3 linked regions of the Drosophila melanogaster genome follow. The protein of the gene in region 1 interacts with the protein of each later gene in a pairwise test. Each region holds a gene or a part of one and is shown on either strand. Other genes may lie near its edges. The genes, in order: Lmpt, synr and Ccp84Aa.

What was found.
Region 2: the proteins of Lmpt (region 1) and synr interact in a two-hybrid assay, tested with the Drosophila melanogaster proteins (2 studies listed by BioGRID).
Region 3: the proteins of Lmpt (region 1) and Ccp84Aa interact in a two-hybrid assay, tested with the Drosophila melanogaster proteins (2 studies listed by BioGRID).

What each region holds. Positions count from the first base shown.
Region 1 is NT_037436.4:16,897,751-16,902,482, forward strand, and holds the start of Lmpt (limpet), read left to right. Parts: upstream 1-1,664; 5' UTR 1,665-2,302; coding exon 2,303-4,318; intron 4,319-4,378; coding exon 4,379-4,441; intron 4,442-4,627; coding exon 4,628-4,732.
Region 2 is NT_033779.5:4,940,672-4,944,873, forward strand, and holds synr (sayonara), read left to right. Parts: upstream 1-2,070; 5' UTR 2,071-2,180; coding exon 2,181-2,273; intron 2,274-2,339; coding exon 2,340-2,609; intron 2,610-2,676; coding exon 2,677-3,077; intron 3,078-3,131; coding exon 3,132-3,317; intron 3,318-3,376; coding exon 3,377-3,563; 3' UTR 3,564-3,629; downstream 3,630-4,202. Other genes in the region: Sgs1 (salivary gland secretion 1), read left to right, coding at 1-695; mRpL24 (mitochondrial ribosomal protein L24), read right to left, coding at 3,630-3,745, 3,804-4,193.
Region 3 is NT_033777.3:6,702,487-6,705,503, forward strand, and holds Ccp84Aa (Ccp84Aa), read left to right. Parts: upstream 1-1,597; 5' UTR 1,598-1,660; coding exon 1,661-1,672; intron 1,673-1,727; coding exon 1,728-2,333; 3' UTR 2,334-2,417; downstream 2,418-3,017. Other genes in the region: Ccp84Ab, read right to left, coding at 1-245, 322-333.

The sequences.
Region 1 (4,732 bases):
GTGTGAGTGAGTGCTCGCTGTCACGGGCTCTGGTTTTTATCGCCCGCCGCACGCAGTTCACGTTTATTGCATAGGTGCGGCAATCGCCCTTTCCAAAGGTTATGGCATTTTCATTGAACTTCACTTGGCTGCCTGTGGGAGTCGGGGATCCCGGGGATATCTATCCTCCAGCTCCGCAAATGCAGCGACTCGCGAGTGGCGATGGCAACAAAGAAATGAAGGCAGTTCATTGGCAGCACTGGCTGTTGACGCGTTGTCATCCGTCGAGCGGAAGTTCATTGCGAGTGAGCCGGAAATTTGTGGCATTCGGTTAAGGTTAGAGATTGCTAAAAATTGCTGCAGGTATTCGCAATTTGTTATTGATGTGCACAAACTGCTTTAGCTCGATTGAAAATATCCTTTATCCATTTATTTTGATTTTAAATAGATTGGGGGTGTAATATGCAAGTAAATAAATTTTTTTTATATGCGTGTTGATCGATTTTTAATTAGAAAATGTTGGATAAAGAAATTGCATTGTCTGTCGCCTTTCGGTGTTATTGTACAAAAAACCATGTTTAAATTTATTCAAAATAAATTTAAATTACCATCAGAAACACTTTCGCTTTCGTTGCGAAAAGCAAAATAAACATATGAATATATCAGAGCCCAGATGACCCATTTATTCATATAAATCTATCTATTTTTGCCACAATTTCTAATGACAATCAGATGATGAGAATAAACAAAAGAATACAAAAATAGTTTGGCTTTGTGGGGCAAAGAACACAATTATGCCGCGTTTGACAATAATTATACTGATTCTGAAAACGCAGAAGAGAACCACAGCGAAATCGGCGATAAAGAGCCTCTGAAAGCTGCTGGCAATGTTAGTGTCAGTGCCAAGACGAAATTTATGGCAAACATTTGTGTGCAATCCGCTCGGAGGCGGCGAAATGGGGCGTGGCGACCCTGGCCCCAGGCGCTGGCAATGCCAAAGAAAACTGATTTGCAAACACCAGGAACAGTAAAAGTCATGCCCATAAGAATTACGAATGCTAAAATATATTTTTCCCACTTTCGAGAATACCAAATTTTATTGGCAAAATAAACAAAAGAATTGGGCATTTTATAAACAAAATTGTATCTCAACATTGTACTCTTAAATGTTATTTTTTCTAAAATCGGAGATACGATGTGACCATTAATGCCAAATTAAGCATTTTTATGGAAATTGGCACCTTAGCTCTGTATATTATTGCAGCCAACTGTGCGTCTGAATAATATGTGTGGTATGCAGTATAGAAAGATCATGTTTTTCAGAAAATACTTGATTTTTTATTATTTTAAAATATCAAAAGAAACATTTTCTGATTAATTTTGATAAATTGAATTTTTAAACCTGAATAAAAGGATAGGAAAGAAAAGATCCCTAAATCTTGATACTTGCTTGAGATTAAAAAACTCTTCATTATGTTATCGAAATGACAGTTGCATTTGATTTTCCCTATCCGATTTATGGTCATGTCGCTAACTGTTCTCCCGCACGAAAACGGCGAGCAAAGCAGAAAGTGGCGAAAAGTGTTTTGTGGAAAACAGCAATCGAAGCATAGACCAAAAATAGTTCCCCCCAAACGAAAAGGGGGCGCGGCCGGCGGGGTGTCGACTAAACTGATTAGAAAATCGGCTTTGGCCAATTCCGATTGCTTTGGCATTTGACACGGAGGCAAGGCAGTGCAACAACGGCAGCGGACAGAAGCAGATACATTTGTGTTGCCAAATTGCCAGCGACAAAAGTCGGCGATGTCTTGTCAGCTCTACAGGCCTTTTGCTCTCATCGCTGGCCGTCAATTAGCGCCGTTTGCCATTTGAACGGATTCGGTTCTTGGCGGTTCTCTCGCCGCTGATTCACTTGTTCTCTAGAAATCGGGGGACCCATGGGCATTGGCTGGGGCATTAATCAGTTGCAAGACGATCGATTAGCGGAAAACAAGAGCTCGCCGCCCGAGCAACTGCATCCGCCTGGCGAGTCCGCCCATCTCCGATTCTTCTTGCTTCGCGCTCTCATAAATCGTCTCAAAACGTAGATAAATGAATATATATCGATGATTGGTTCAATGATTTGTGAGCGAAAGTGAAATAAATATTTTTCGAATTACCTAATCGGCTGGCCATTAACGTGAGTGGTGTGAATTTTCGAGTGCGTGGTGAATATATTTTATATAATACGTGTTAGCCGATTCGGTTCTCGTCGACACATACTCTCATTGCATCGGCGAACGTTGGAGGATTCGGATTCCGTTTCGATTCTGGTCATTACGCAATGGCCGCTGAGGAGACGGCGCTAACCGGCGTCGGCGAGCTACTATTCTCGCTGCTAATTGGATACCTAGGTGCCCTGGAATTCGCCTTTGTGGCGCGCCATCTATACCACTGGACTTTCCAACATCCCGGCGATTCTTCTGTAGATGCAGCAGCTGACGCAGAAGAATTGCCTCGCATGCGAGAGCGATTGGATAAGCAGATCAAGGAGGCGGCGGAAAGGGAAGCCCTGGCAGGAACCAATGTCATGCAGGATGGTGTCCTATATGTCAATGGAATACGAGTAGATCCTGCTGGAGATAAAAGACAAGCTTTGGCAGCCGAACTGGCACGTCAACAGCAAATTGAAGCCGATACGAGGCGTCAGCTGGCCGAAGCCGAGGCCAAGCTGGTAGAAGAAAGACTACGAGTCCAGAGGGAGAAAGAGGAATCGGAGGAGCAGCAGAGAAAGCTCGTAGAGGCGGAAAGACAGCGCGAAAGAGAGCAGGCGGAGAAAGAACTGCAGGAACAAAGAGAAGCCGAACGCAGACAGCTAGAAGCAGAAGAAAATCAGCGTAAACAGCGCGAAAACGAGGAGAAAGAACGCCTAGAAAACGAAAGAAGGCTGATAGATGCCGAACGGGAAAGGGAGGAGAATGAGCGAAGACTGCAAGAAGCTGAAGAGCAGCGCGAGCGAGAAGAAAGCGAAAGAAGAATCGTCGTGGCAGAGCGTCAGAGAGAGCAGGCCGAAGCCGAAAAGGAGCGAGCCGAACAACAAAGGATCCTGGCTGAAGCCGAGGCAGCGCAAGCCGAGCGTCGTCTCTTTGATGCCGAGATTCAGCGAGAGCGCGATCAAGCTGACGAAGAAGGGCAAGCACTGAGGGATGCGGAGATCGTAGAGCGTCTTCTGGCAGCAGAAAGAGAGCTCAGTCCAAGCGCTACAGAGAGCGAACTGGAGGAGGATGCTGCCATCGCAGAGCAGTCGCGTCGCCTGATCTCCAGCAGAACTGATCTGGAGCAAAAACAGCGAATGATTGAGGAAAACGCCAGACGCTTTCTTGAGGCAGAAGAGGAGATGGTAATGTTACAACAGCGCCAACTTCAAGCCTCACACAGCAAAGAGGAGGCAGACGAGTATGCTGGCATGGAACCCGTGGTGGAGGAGCTGTGTGTGAAGAAAGTGGCTCCACCCAGGTTTCAGGAGCCTCCAGAAGAACCCATGGTGCATAAAGTGAAAACTCAATTTGGTCAAGGAAGTGGTCCTGAAGACGCCTACTCAGCAAAGTCAAAAACACTCACCTTCCCTGGCGTATCGGATGAAGGATCCTCTCTTGAACCCAAAACTCCGTTCTCCATCCAGCAGTCGTCCTTCAGCACGCAGCCCTCTGATGAGGGCAACAGAATCGAAAGTGAACGCCCAGAACCTGAAGGAGAAGATCAGATACAGGAAGTCCAGTACACCGAGGACTACCTTCGTTCTCTAGATGGCATTAAGAATCGTCCTTTGATGCGAGAGGATGGTTCAGGGAGAAGAAGGGCTTTTAAGAAGCGACGATCCAGTGGAAGCTCGAACTCCTCGCGGGAATCGCGAGCCTCCCGCGACGAAGAACTAAAGATGTTCACCTCGCTAGAGGAGGAGGAGTTGCGCCACGGCGACCGAGAGGACTATAACCCCATCAAGTATACGAGCGAACCTACCCTGAGGGTTAAATCCCACCGACGTCACAAAAGGAGTCCAGCAAAGGATGTTAGACCAACGGCAGAGTCGACCACATCCTTAGAGATGCTCGGTGAGGAGAGCACAAATCCCTGGGGTGAGGTTGTGCCGGAGCATTATAAGGATACCGAGTTTTGGAAGCGGGAAAAAGCGCTCTCCATAGACGAGGAGGAAATCGAACTAGAAAGACCATCCAGGGGAGAGGATGTGGAGGAAGAAGCTACAAATGAGCCAAAATCGTCCTCCTTTGAAGAGGCCACTGAGGCACAAAACGAACAGGCAGTGGCTGCCCTAAAACAACAACTTTCCAAGGAGCAGTTGGTGAGTAAATGAATCTACAAGCCGAGGATCTATATCAATGATTTATTATGTGTGTGTTAGGACAAAGAAGCGGAGAAGGACAACCCGCAAGCAGTGGATACCAGCGACAGCAACAAATCCAATGTAAGTGCGTAGCACAGACACCTGGCATCATTTCTCACCCAATAATTTCGACCACAACCTAATCCACCAATCGCAGACACCACTGCCGCATAACTAACTGTCCTAACTGCTTTACCTCTTTGCTTTTCATATTGCTACTGCTCCCACATTCCGCTTGCTTTTCCGCTTCACCTTTCCCCCAAAAAGCTGCAAACCTCTATCGCAGCAGAGGAGCAATCAAGGGGTGGTTCACCTGGCTTGCGACGCAGTCCACGTATGGATGAAATGGAGCATTATCCGGAGCGCTGGTCC
Region 2 (4,202 bases), on another chromosome or scaffold:
CTAGATCCACAACAACTACTTCCACAAGTCGCCCAACGACAACTACTCCTAGATCCACAACAAAAACTTCCACTTGTGCCCCAACGACAACTACTCCTAGATCCACAACAACAACTACCACAAGTCGCCCAACGACAACTACTCCTAGATCCACAACAACAACTACCACAAGTCGCCCAACGACAACTACTCCTAGATCCACAACAACACCTTGCACAAGTCGCCCAACCACAACTACTCCTAGATCCACAACAACAACTACCACAAGTCGCCCAACGACAACTACTCCTAGATCCACAACAACACCTTGTCCAACTACAACACCATCTGCAAGTCCTACAAGAACAACAACAACCCGTCGTCCTTGCCCTTGCCATCCCCAGCCTCCTTACCAGATTCCTCCTTGGTCATGGTGGTATCCGAACCCGACCTACCCCAATCCCGTGTGGCCCTGGCAACCTAACCCAGTCGTTCCTCAATGGCCACAGATGCCCGGATATCCAAATCAGTGGCCACAATTACCAGGTTATCCCCAGCAATTACCACCGCCGTTGCCATCACCTCAGTGGCCGTGGTCTTGGCCAAAACCACCAGTAGTTCAACCTGGCGACTGTGAAAACATATGCGAAAACCTACTGAAGGGAGTAAAATATCAAGAAGATCTCATCAGAAGGTGCTTGTGCACACGAACATAATCCTTTAAAAAAGAATCACGTAATTGTTTTATTAAAATGTTGTCTATTTAAAAAAATAACTTAAAACAAAGTTTTGATGGTTAAAAATATCGAACGGGTATGGTATGGATGTAGGTTTGATGATATTGAATGGCAAGTCTATCCTTCAGAAGTGGGAGGAAGGATTATGGATGTCACAATGGCGCATGCGCCTATATGGTTTTTGGATTCCCATGTTTTGCTTAACACTTTCGTCCCTGAGAAGCTCAGAAAGCTTGGGCGCCATTCATCAACAAGTTTGCATTCGGACTTCAGCACTCTAATCGACACTTGACTACATTATTACTTATTTAAACGCAATCATTTGACCCATTATTTTCCGACGCCTTTGCGTTTGGTTGCACTGCATTGCTCATGCGACATATGGTCGCACTATATGTTTGGAGCACACATTCGGACAAGTTTAATGACCAATTGCCAAGGGATTGGAGAACTCACTGCTCTTCGAATTAGGTTAGCACATTAGCTGGTTAAGGACAAACGTGGATTGAAGTTAGGATGGGGAGAGAAACAGGAAAACTTAACGAGTTCTAGCATATGATAATGTGTACAGCCATAAACTTATAGCTAACATCGTAATCCGTGCACAAGCTATTAAAAACTTCAAGAAGATATGTCCCTAAATTTTTCCAATAGTAATAAATATATAACCAAATTTACTCTCTCTGTAGGGCATACTACAATCCTAATAAGCTATAAACACTCCAGAGCAGAGCCTCTAATTTGCTGGTAATTTATCAAAATCTAGATTATAATCCTGCTGATGGATTATGTTTCGGGTCGATTAGTACCCCAGTTATAGGACTACTAGAGTTCGTCCTTCGTTCAGCTGAGCTTGCACATTTCCTACACAATAAGCAGATGTTAATGGCTCCCTTCTTTGTTGTTTTTGTTAACTTGTTAATACAAATACACCGTGTGCCAATTCACAAATCCAACAAGGTATAGTGGACATGCCAACAAAAAAGCTAGCAAAGCAAATAACACATTGTTGACAAACAGCGGGCTATTGGGGTGAACCTTCAAAAATCTATTGAACAAAAGTATTACTCGTCATATGTATTGTAGCATTTTAATTAAGGAAACATGTATTTTAATCAATATAACTTAAACTTAAAGATAGTAATGGTTGCACATGTCGTATGCGCAATTTTCATGAAGAGTGGTCCGCTCTAAAGGACACATACGTGGTAACAAGGGGGCTACGCTGGCCCCTGTCCCCACCTCCCGAAATGGTTTGTGGGTGGATTTGGTGTGGCCCTGTCCAATGGCTAGCGCGCAAAAATAATTTTTGTTATTGTGTTTTCCCTCATAAGTGGACATGACGGACCCAACGAAAGCTCATTCAGCGCTGGACAGGCGAACTGGAAAGGTCTAAGACGGAAGATGTCATCGCCGGCAGAGCGGGCGAACTTCGTGCAGCACTTCGGACAGACAACCTGAGTGATGGGCTGTGGCTCCTCCATGGATACGCAGACGAATCCTGTCGTCACGGAGGTCAGCTCGGAAATGCAACCTCGCCAGAATGGCGCCTCTGGAGTAATAGCACTTGAACAAGTCGTCTTACCTTTGCCATAATCAATACCTCTTCCATTTCGTCATCAGAATGTGGTCGAGCAATATGTGCGCCTGGACGAGCAGATCAGCAAGCTGGAGGGCACATGTCCTGGTCCTCGAATGGCCACCGCCGAGGCCTGGGTGGAGCACATTCAGAGCAAGCACGAGGCGATGCTGGGACTCGATGGCATGGGAGTGTCTCCTTTGCGCGAGAGGGAATGGGAAACCGAGGAGGCCCTGCCCATTCCAGCTTACACAATGGGGGGGCGGCAGGGCGACCCAATTGTGGCCAACACGCCCACCAAGGACCTGGCCCAGGTAAATGGCCTGCCATTAGTGAATGTGATGAACTTCCCTCAAGTATATTATTACCATTCGACTTTAGCTTGCCTACAACCTGGGCGTAATTGGCGATGCCCGCAAGGCTTCCATGCACGAGGATTTCTTCGCCAACCTGAGCGAGTCCGCCATGTATTTGCTTAGCATTCGTTACTACGGCGAGATGTTGGAACACACTAAGGTGCGTCTAAAGACTCTGGCCGAGAGCTATGCAGAGCTGAACGAGCTGTACGTAAAGCAAGACGGGATTATAGCGTATATAAGCGGGGGAACGTACATGACTCGGCTGGAGGAGAGCATTGATGAGCAGCTTGAGACGGCAAGAGATACAAGGGATAAGCTGGGCAGCGCACTGGAGCAGTGGCGCATCTGTGGATTACTACTTAGAGCAGCCGCGAATTCCTCGACGCAGGCATTAAAACAATGGCGACAGCTTGGACGGATAATGTGGGTAAATTAATTCCCCACTTAGAACTTGTTGACATGTTATTTCTCGTTCAGAGATCCCAAGCAAAAGCTTCAGTGGGCGTTGGACTGTCGAAGTCTGTTACACGCCTCCACGATATCCCTAGAGGCGGCTCAGCTGGCTCTGCCGCACGTGGAACTCAAGTACATGAGTCATCGGCAAGTCCTAGCCGTCAAGCACTGCAACACCTACCTAATCACGGATATAGCAAACAAAGCGCGGTAAGTTAATATATAGATTTCTCTAGAATCTTCTACAAAGGGAAACGAATCCCTTTTAGGTACGAGCACACCAGTCGGGTCTTCACCAGTTACGAATCAAACATGTCCAAAACCTGCACGTGGCTCTACGAAACCTTTAACAGCACGCTGCGCCCAGACTACGACAGGGCGGAGGAAACTGTATGCGGGCTGGCCAAGACGCTCCGGGATCATCGCGAGGAGGTCTTCAACACGGTGCGCAAGTGACATTAAACTTATTGCTCAATTATATGGGTATTTTGTACATTACTTTAATAAACAGTAGGCATAACATTAGTACCAATAGCTCTTGACTGGCGTGCGTTCCTCTTTGATGCCCATTTCCTCCATAATGTCCATCTCGAATGTGGACAACTTGGGCTGAAAGGTGATCTCGCCCACAACAGCGCCTGAAAAGGACAGACTTGTATGACTAGGAACATATTGAAATGCGATAATAGCCCATACCTGGCGTATCCTTCTCCCTTTCGATATAGGCGTTTGGTGTTTTATAATCGTGCGTCTGGTTGTTCGTCTCCGGGATGGGTATGATTCGGCCAGATCGCAAGGACACCCGCACTTTCTCGCCCTCCTCCGTGAAACGCCACTCAAAGTCGGTGCCCTGAAGATCCGATGGGTCAACCAGACGAATGTCCTTGGTGACGTGCAAAGGTGCCTCGGACTTGATAATGATACCGGGAAACTCCTTCTCACCGCCAACCTTGCGATAGTGCCAGTTCAGGCCCTCTACAATTACCCAATTGCGCTCGGGTATAACCTGGGTGACAATTCCCTGCTTTCCTTTGTCTTTACCCACAAGGACTTCGATACGATCGCCGCGGAAAAAGCTCCAGTCCTCTGAAAAGG
Region 3 (3,017 bases), on another chromosome or scaffold:
TCTCCATCGCGCTCCTCCACCTGTCCCTTGTTGTCACCGGTTAGCTTGTCATCGACTCCGTAGGAGAAGCGGTACTGGGGGTGGGGGTCGTACTCCTCGGCGGCCTTGACCACGACCTTTTGGGCGACGGCCACGGGGGCGTGGGCGTAGGTGGCCACCGCTGGGGCAGCATGGTACACCTGTGGGGCGGCGATGGGAGCATAACCGGCGCTGGCCACGGCGACGAAGGCGAGGGCGAAGACAAACTAAATTCAAGAGCGTTAGATATCCAACCGGAATTTCGTATACAGTTGATCCCGGATTTCCATCGAGATGACTCACCTTGAAGGCCATGTTGCTAGGAGTGCTGATTGGTAGTTCTTTACAGAAGTGAACTGGATCTGCGAATGATACTTTTCTGTGTCCGATCGACAACTTTTATAGTAAATCAAGCTGCCAGCTCTGCTCTGCTTTGGCCCAATACGCCGACAGCACGTGTTATTTTCGCGGTGACAGCGAAATATATTAAATGCTTCTCGACTGCGATTGTTGTCGGGCAATAACTTGTACTTCCTGTTCGTGGCGCTAAGCTCAGTGGGTGTGCAAATGCTTGTGGCCACAGATTCTAAACCCGTCAGCACCGAAAGAGTGAAAGATCTTTGGGGAAAGGTTTGCGTAATACCGAAAGGGCTTTGCCGGCCGCAATGTGTGGCTAATTACTTTGTTATATAACGCTGTATAAGATCGCTTTAAGAAGATATACTGATCATATATTTTTTTCTTACAAAGCAAATCGCAAAATTTTGATTAGGTTTTTTTAAAGATTTTCGAATCTTTAGAGTTCACTGTGCAATCTGATTGATATTCTTTAAATACTCTATACATATATGATTATAATTATACGAACGGATTTGCAATCTTAAAGAGTTGAATGAACTTTACACTGTGCTGGATAAGAAAAAACTCTTGAAAAAAGATTAATATTTTTTGAAATTGGTTGACACTACAAAAACTGTGGTTCTAAAAACTAAAAGCTAAGTTGGGTCTGCGTTAGTGTCCTAAGGAACACAACTACTTAGCTACATCTAAATACCTAACATTCTATTTACACTCAGATAATAATTTATCAGATACACATTTAAGAGTTTGGCATTTATGGGTCTTAGAACATAAACGTTAAAAATATATTACACAATGCATTATTTTTGTACAATATATAGAAAATCGCTGCTTCATTCAAAATAAATGCCCTTTTGCGAAGTCTGTGGGAATCAAGGCCACCCACCAGACATCCACGATCCCATCCTTAAAATATCTTGGATAATCGAAACGCTATTAGCAGATGCAATCCATTCCCAACTACCAATTTTAACGTGGGCACCGCGCGAATCCGCCGAATCCTTTCTAAATAATTGGACTGCATCTCGCATTCGCAAATCCCTTCTCCTCTCTTGGTTCTCTGCCGGCGTCTCTGCCGACTTTGCCGTTGACTTCGCAGAGCGGTGACTTCGCGCTAATTTGGAGCATGATATTCAGAAGGCCAAGCGTAAGCACCTTGCTTCACCTGAGCAGAAACTGCAAGCGGGAGCTATAAAACCGCTGGCCGGCCAGAAACCGTATCATTCAGCCATCAGCACCGTTTCCGCAAAGAACTAACCCACGAATCCAAAAACCCTATAAAATGGCATTCAAGGTGAGTCCTGTGGTATCCCACCAGAACCCGTTTCTCTAACGAATATGTTCCCCAGTTTGTCTTCGCCCTCGCCTTCGTCGCCGTGGCCAGCGCCGGTTATGCCCCCATCGCCGCCCCACAGGTGTACCACGCTGCCCCAGCGGTGGCCACCTACGCCCACGCCCCCGTGGCCGTCGCCCAGAAGGTCGTGGTCAAGGCCGCCGAGGAGTACGACCCCCACCCCCAGTACCGCTTCTCCTACGGAGTCGATGACAAGCTAACCGGTGACAACAAGGGACAGGTGGAGGAGCGCGATGGAGATGTGGTACGCGGAGAGTACTCCCTGATCGACGCTGACGGCTACAAGAGGATCGTCCAGTACACCGCCGATCCCATCAACGGATTCAACGCCGTTGTCAACCGTGAGCCCCTGGTCAAGGCCGTCGCCGTTGCCCCCGTTGTGAAGACCGTCGCCGCTCCCGTTGCCCAATACGCCGCCCCTGCTGTCGCCCACTACGCTGCTCCCGCTGTGGTCAAGACCGTGGCTCCAGTTGCCCACTACGCTGCTCCTGCTGTGGTCAAGACTGTGGCCCCAGTGGCTCACTATGCTGCCCCCGCTGCATATGCCACCTATGCTGCTCCCACCCACTACGCCGCCCCCGCTGTTGCCTACCACCCCTGAGAACTGACATTCCACATTGCCCAGCTCTTTATTGTTATAGTTTTACGAACGACTTCTATATATATAAAAATATATTTCACATTTAAAAAGGTTATATCACTGTATCCTATCCAAAGGATATGTATTTCCTGGGGCTCAATTCGATTCACGAAGCAATACAATTTATTGTAATTACTTTTGCTTCGTGAGGGCTAAATTAGAGTGGCTGTGTGGCCAATTAATTGAATTAGGCTGCGACATTGAAATTCCAAATTCCAAAATTCCAAAGTTTTAAAGTCAAATTGAATTTTTTCTTTCAATCGCTCCATTCCATTGAGATATCTATGATGTTCGATTCGGGTCTGGACGTTGGCCAATCCTATCAACGAATAATAAATCATAATCAGATCGGTGTGAAATATTCATGTGTGCTTATAAAAGCAATTAACGGATATATAATATAAACGATTTTTTCGTTTGCCGGATTTCGATTTGATTTTGCTAAATGGAACTTCAGTGACCGGCTTTCCCATTCCCCTCTTTGCTCGTACCTATTACCATTAATTTTTTGTATTTAAACAATAGAATAGACTGACTACAAATAGTACACTTCCAAAAAACTCGTATAGAATCATACTAATTAGAATTATTAAATAGAAATGATGTATCTATGAAACTTGCTGTGATTGTTCAAACTTTTCAAAA